2 linked regions of the Bombyx mori genome follow. The protein of the gene in region 1 purifies or fractionates together with the protein of each later gene. This does not show direct contact. Links are inferred from orthologs where the notes say so. Each region holds a gene or a part of one and is shown in the gene's direction. Other genes may lie near its edges.

The links. The genes of interacting proteins can lie anywhere in the genome.
Region 2: the proteins of segment polarity protein dishevelled (region 1) and vang-like protein 1 purify together in Drosophila melanogaster (affinity purification with western blotting; 3 studies listed by BioGRID). This does not show direct contact. The link is inferred for Bombyx mori from reciprocal best matches to the Drosophila melanogaster genes dsh and Vang.

Annotation. Positions count from the first base shown.
Region 1 is NC_085130.1:18,587,742-18,591,565, reverse strand, and holds part of segment polarity protein dishevelled, read left to right. Parts: intron 1-849; coding exon 850-995; intron 996-1,895; coding exon 1,896-1,994; intron 1,995-3,395; coding exon 3,396-3,579; 3' UTR 3,580-3,581; intron 3,582-3,824.
Region 2 is NC_085129.1:14,696,150-14,699,973, reverse strand, and holds part of vang-like protein 1, read left to right. Parts: coding exon 1-113; intron 114-435; coding exon 436-623; intron 624-2,234; coding exon 2,235-2,347; intron 2,348-2,732; coding exon 2,733-3,041; 3' UTR 3,042-3,824.

The DNA of each region.
Region 1 (3,824 bases):
TAATATATAAATCTACACTGGTTTTTTCGGATGTTCCGTTATAACTACTGAACTGTGCATCCGATTGACTTGAAACTTGGTAGCCATGTAGAAAATACATGTACTTAATGGATAGGCTAATATTTATATGAGTGCTGGACTCCCTACATCAGTTGCGGGGGCGTTAATGATGAGAATCTTTGTGGGGGTGAGAAATGATGATGTTAATTTAAAATTCCCAGCGAAGCGGACGGGTGGGTACAGCTAGTTTTTCTATAAAAATAAATAAATGACATTTGTGCAACAAAAAAAACTGGTTAAACCGTACAACATTTGTAGTGACATTTGACTTGAACAAATCAAATATTTTTTGTAGAGTAATAATATACTCGAATATAGTAATATTATATAATATACTATACATAATAAACTAGAGTAATATGTATGTATGTATATGTGATTGTGTATTTATGTATATGTATATATCGACGCTTGAAAGGCAAATATGACTAAGCGACAATAACTGCTTTGTACATAAATGATAGGCAATAACCATATTCGATGCGCAAAAAATATATATTTCTAGGTCTATTAAAATCATTTCAATCCTACAGCTACTAGCTAGATTCTACTATAGCTAGATTCGTTAAAATAAATTTTGTTTCAGGTATTTCAACTTTAAATTAGTCTACTGTACAGTTCACGCATTGTCGCATATACTTTTTTTTTGTGTATGCATTTGTAACTTAATATAAATTTCATTGCACCTACCGCTGTTCACTCTGCACTACCTTTGGTTGACTGGTAGAGAATGCCTTAGGTATTAAGTCTGCCAATGAAAATAAATAAATATACATGTATTATTTCCAGGCCGGCTTCATAAGGCACACAGTTAACAAGATAACGTTCAGCGAGCAGTGTTACTACGTGGCGGGCGCGGGCTGGCTGGGCGGCGAGCTGTCCTCGCTCAGGATACGTGCTGACGACGCTGACGTCAAGCCCCTCCCGGACCCGGGGTCGGTGCATGGACCTCATTGTGTACATTGCCGTTGGAGACCGCAGCTATAGTGATACTTGGGGCTCGTGTCTCAAGGCGGGTGGCCGCTTTTGTGTTGCTGATGTCCATCACCTAAGCAATAAAAATGATAGTCGGTAGTTGTCGTCGTCCATGGACAGCAACAAAGCAGCTGGCTACTGGTGAAGTTTTCTAGAAATTGATTTGAATAAGGATAGGTTTTTTTTTATTGCTTTGATGGGTAGACGAGCTCACAGCCCACCTAGTGTTAAGTGGTTATTGGAGCCCATAGACATCTACAACGCAAATGCGCCACCCACCTTGAGATATAAGCTGTAAGGTCTCAGTATAGTTACAACGACTGCCTCACTCTTCAAAGCGAAACGCATTACTGCTTCACGGCAGAAATAGGCAGGGTGGTGGTACTTACCCGTGCGGACTCACAACAGGTCCTACCGCCAGTAATTACGCAAATTATAATTTTGCGGGTTTCACTTTTATTACACGATGTTATTCCTTCACCGTAGAAGTCAATCGTGAACATTTGTTACGTACGTATTTTATTAGAAAAATTGGTACCCGCCTGCGGGATTCGAACACCGGTGCATCGCTTCAACACGAATGCACCGGACGTCTTATCTTTTAGGCCACGACGACTTCACTCGCACTCTTGATTTATCACCAATTGGCACCGTCATGAGACTTACTAAGAATCCGTCATAATGTTCAGGGAACATTAGAAAGTTAGAACATTAGTTAGAAACATCAGAAAGAGTTCAGATCCAGGGTCTTAGGGTGTGTTGGAATGACAATTTAAGTAGAATTAGACCGTACTCCAGTGATAACAACAATGAACCCACACATGTCACATGTTTTAATTGTAATTTTCCTTGTTGCGCAGCCTCATGGGCCCAGGATACGTACCATATGCGGGCTCGTATGGCTACCAGCCCATACCCTTCAAGTATTCCTGTGCCAACAGCGAACACACCATATACGGGTGAGTTAAGTGTTGAGAGGAATGAGTGGAGGCAAAATGTTGCCATACGTATAAACACCATGCCGGTTCAGCTAAGCTGTGTTTGTTTTGTATTGATATCAGTATGAAGGGTAGAATTAAGAGGACTTTTTGGCCGGAACGCGAGGAGTGAAGTTGTGTGATTTGTTTTATTTTGTCTATTTAGGTTTCTTCGGGTTTAAAAGTGTAATAACGGTGGTTTATTAACTGTTTACTGTATCTGTGGAAGTGCACAAATGTGGGAAAATGAAACAAAGCCGCTGAACATGTCATCTATGCTAATATATAAATCTACAGCGGTTTTCACGGATGTTCCGTTATAACTACTGAACCATGCATCCGATTGACTTGAAACTTGGTATCCATGTAGAAAATACACGTACTTAATGGATAGGCTAATATTTATATGAGTGTTGGACTCCCTACACCAGTTGCGGGGACGTTAATGATGAGAATCTTTGTGGGGTTGAGAAATAATAAAGCTAAATTTAAATGCCCAGCGAAGCAGATGGGTACAGCTAGTTTTTCATAAAAAAAAATCATTGAAATTATAATCAGACTTGACCTAAAAGTCTTAGTTACCAGGTCATAAAATCCTATAAAAAAATAGAATTAAGAACGCCATCTAATAGTAGGAAGTGGAAATGATATGGATATAGCAGTTTTAAACAGAGTGAAAGGTGATAACTTATGGCGCGTTTCTAAAATATCTCCACTTTCTACTGTGGCGCCATCTTTCAGCAGACACTTTTTAATACACTGAGATGGTTCTTAGTAGTTCGTAGAGGTAAGGAGAACCGTCTCATATGGGAGATGCTTGAAAAAGTGTCCCACTTTCAGCACTTAATAACAGTTCAAAAATCCTCCAGAATGGCGCTACCATAGGCACAGGGTGTGATATGAATTGAGCAGTTGTTAACTGATTGAAGTATGCTGAAGGAAATTTAATATATTTAATGACTAGAGTAGTTAGTGACAGTGTAATATACAAGACCTCGCATGTTTACGTAGTCCAAACTAATTTCGTCAATATAACCTAAAATTATTGCTGTGGTAAATCGCGGAGACATCGATTGCATTTTCTTATCAGCTTTAAATAATATACTTTTTGTGATTTTGTACTGCTTATAGTTCTTTCGTCCTTTTTTTATTTCTCTATCTTATTCTAATAGTTTTTAGCCTTTTTTTAAATTTACCCAGTTGCTACTCCTTACCTCTACCCTTCATAGCTCCATGGATATTAGGAATGAATCAATATCACGGACGTTAGTGTGTGGCACGCTGAGAGAGAGAGAGAGAAAGAGCCTACAGGAATGAGCAGGATAGACGACAGTAACATAGTCAAGGCCTACCTCAATGGTCATGTTGACGTTCTGTCGTCAGGTACAACCGAGAAGAGTCCGCGGTGTCGGGCAGCGGGGGCTCGAGTGGGGGCTCGGAGCGCGGCGCGGGGGGCGGCGGGGGTCCGGGTGGCACCGGGGGGCCCACGCTCGACGAGAGGAAGTCCTCCTCGTCCGGCTCGCGCTCCTCGCCGCGGCCCGCCGACAGGCCTGTGCTCTTCCTATAACGGTCAGTGTACTGCGCGCTGATTAGCGATCAGCTGATCACCCACACACACACACGCACACACACGCACGCACGCACACACTTAAAAATTCTAACACGCAATGTAACAATTAAAAATAGACCAAGACGTGGGGTCGAAGACCTCTAGAGTCTCTATATGAACTCACTTGAACTAGTAGTAATAGTTTTTTTATTTTTTTATTTAGGCACACGAAAAATGTGGTCATTCCAGTTATCTTTTTTGAA
Region 2 (3,824 bases), on another chromosome or scaffold:
TATAACCCATATCTGGAGAAGATACCAATATCGAAGAGTCAGAGAAAGGCACAATCCAGTATTAAATTTTATGATGTCGATGGATCTAACACAAATGCGGCAGGACAAACAAGGTTTGTATTATTAATAAAATTACTTGTTGTAAATTTATTGACTGACAAATTCGTCATCATTATTTTAGCAATTACTGGAGCCCATAAAAGTATCTGAAGTCACTAAAGTCAATGAATGGTTTGTTATTTCACATATCAATTCATTTAAAATTTGAATGTATGAGAGGAATATATATGGATGAGAGAGTACAACAAGCAACTCTTGATTCCTGGAAAAACTAATGTTGAAATGAACTATTTTTGAGTTGCAAATTTAACACTGGCCAAACCATGGGACATGTCTGTTTATCTGCTGAATAAAACTAGTGTCCCTAAATTACAGATCGACAGCCGGTTCTTGTGCCGGAAGCGGGAGTGGTCGGCGTCGGGAGTCGGTCTCCGCGCACAACGAGCGCTACCACGAGGAGGCAGAACGAGAGCGACGAGTCAGGAAGCGACGTGCCAGATTGTTGGCGGCTGCGGATGATGCTTTTGCACACGTCCGAAGAGTCAGATTGTCTGCTGCCAATGGTGAGTACCTAGGCGGCACTGAAAATTTCGGGAATTAACGAAGTGACACAACATTACTATTTAAAAATGTATTTATTGGTTTTCGAAGTATTCTCCGCGAAATTTGACACAATTTCCATACGATGGAACCAATCATTGATGCAACCATTCCATTCGGAAGTTTGGGTCTCCAAAATGGCCGTTTTGTAGGCGTCCACAGCTTCTTCAGGTGATGAAAATCTCTGTCCACGCAATTTATTCTTTATTTTAGGGAAAGTATAGAAATCATTAGGGCTTAGGTCGGGGCTATACGGCGGATGGTCTAATAATTCTATGTTTTCTTGCTCTAAAAACTCTTTTGTTCTGTGCGCGGTGTGAGAACTCGCATTGTCGTGATGGAGGATGATGCGGCGGTTGCAGTTCTCTTTACGGAGTTCAGAAACGACCTGTGGCAAACAAATGCTAGCATACCATTCTGCATTAACCGTTCTTTGTCCCTCAAGAGGAATAGTCGTAACATGGCCGGTTTTGGAGACAAACGTGGCCACCATTTTTTTGCAACACTCCGTGAATGAACAATTTTTGTTGGCTTTAACTCATTTTGGAACACCCAAACTCGTGACTGGTTTTTTGTTTCGGGTTCGTACGCGTATATCCAGGATTTGTCACCTGATACAATGTTGTATACAGCATTTGAGGATCCTGCGTGGAATCTTTCGAGAGTTCTGACGCACCAAGTAACGCGAGCTGCTTTTTGCTCTTCACAGAGCGAATGCGGTATCCATCGGGAAAACAACTTTTTTACACCTAATTGTTCATTCAAGATTATTTGTATTTGACTCATGCCAATGTCTAAAGTTGCCTGAATTTCGCGGTATGTCACATGTCGATCTTCCTCAATCAGCTTACGCACAGCATCAACGTTTTCTTGGGTGACTGCAGTTTTTGGACGACCTTGACGGGGATCATCACTGAGCTTGACACGTCTACGTTGAAACTCAGCAAACCAGCGATAAATTGTGATTTTGGATGGGGCTTCATCACCAAATGCAGAAATCATCCGGTCAACACACTGTTTTTGTGTTAAACCACTTCGAAAGTCATTATAAATCATCGCTCTTGAATTTTCTCGAGTCAATTCCATTTTCTCAACGACTAAACAAGTTTGACAAAACCTCGTGACAAGACCGAGAATCTTTTTTTAAATAAATAAATGGTATTCGATTTTTAAAACCAAGGAGTTTTCAATTAAAAAGATTTTAATATGACAGGAACAGTGGAAATATTCCATTCCCGATACTTTTAGTGCAGCCCTCGTATAGGTTTTATAAAATGCTAGCCAAAACTGTTGTAGGCTAATTATTAACTTCATGTTCGATTTTATGGACACCGAGCCCCTTCTAATGTTCCTCCATCCGTTCTCTGTATATAATTCTACATTTTGAAATAACAGCGTGTCCAAGGTTTCGAACTCAAATTCCAAATAATTTATTTCAATTCAGATGTCATTGAACAGTCTTATTTTAATTTCAAAATAAACTTGACCACTGGGTTTCAAGCGAAAGTGGAGTGGAGGTGGAAGAGCCACAGCCATAACACTAATAGTAATACGGACGGATGATATGTTCTCAGGGGGAGCGCTGGGTCCCCGCGAGGCTGCACAGGCCGTATTCCCTTCCCTAGCTCGGGCACTGCAAAAGTATCTCCGGGCCACCAGGCAACAGCCCAGACACACTGCTGACTCAGTTAGTACATACTATATTTTTTACATACATCTTATTGATTAAAAAGCTTTAGTTGGGTAAGCATATTTAGTGTTTTAATATTCAGATTAATGTTTCTTAAATGCATTGCCTTAAATTCCTTAAATACCCACATTGAGAGAACTTTGAAGTCTTGATATTGAAACGGGCAGGATAACACTAACTCATGCCAAATGAGAGTAATTTTATTTGCATTATATCACCGCGCGCGGTCTTTGAAATTACATGTCATTGGTACATAATTATTTAAATTAAATCGGTAACAGCTTCCGAATAGCACCACAGCATGTTAATGTTAAGTTTTTCTAACAAGCTTTCTAATAATTTTCAGTGTTTTAATGTTAATCAACAAGTTTCAAATCCACAGGTCTTAGCCCATCTAGCTCGCTGCTTATCCCAGGATGCGTCACCTCGTGCTTTCCTCGAGCCATTCCTAGTGGAAGGCCCGGTTCTGGCTGCCGACCACGAGACTCGTCCTTTGCAGCGCTGGTCGCTCATCTCCGACGAGCTGTTAGCGCGACCTATTGCCCACAACATCGACTTCCAACTCCGTCAAGGTGACGTTTCATTAATATGTTCTATAAAACAGCTACCTAAATTCAGCTTGTCTGAGGAAGTCGTTGACCCGAAGAGCAACAGGTTCGTGCTCAGGCTCAATTCGGAGACGTCAGTTTGACAGGAGGAGTACGACGCTAGAGACGGGCTGAGGCTGGTATGACGCTCGATGTCTTGGCCTTTCAGGCACATGACATGCTCTGAGTGATTGTCAATGTCATTTTGACATTAGTTAAATGCAGCTGAAATTATACCTACATTTATTTCATTACGTCAAATTAGGAGAGTAGAGATAACGAGAATTGTGTTTTATGATGGACACATTAAAAAGTGTCCAATCGTAAGCAACAAATTAGCATTTCAAAACCCACCAAAGGCGCCACCGGTGTTGCGAGTGGTGTGTGATTTGAATGTTGCTGTCATAAACGGAGTGAAGCGCGTTAAGCTGAAAATATTTTGGTATAATAAATTTTGACGTTACTTAGAAATCACACCAAACGCTACGGTGGCGCCACCCTAGTTGGTCGTTATTCGACGAACACTTTTTAATACACAGAGACTGTGTTATTTACTTCTGCTTTCCACACGTTAAATACATAAAAGTATCTAGTATTCATAATTCTGTATTAGTTACAAAAGTATTTCATTAAAAAGACTGTCCAGACATTCCTTCTTTAGTAGCGATTTTATGAGCTCTCTACAAGTTTTTCTATACAACTTGACAAGTTAAGTGCCTGATGTTGCTTCGACTTAGGTTAGACGAGTGGCAGCTATTAGAATAATTTAGGTATTAGTAGTTAATTTGTTGAAAGCCCACTAGTAAGATTTAAACAGTAGTAGAATTAAACATATACCTTTATGAAGGTATATTCTTATATGAAGCAAATGGTTAATTTAGTAAAGT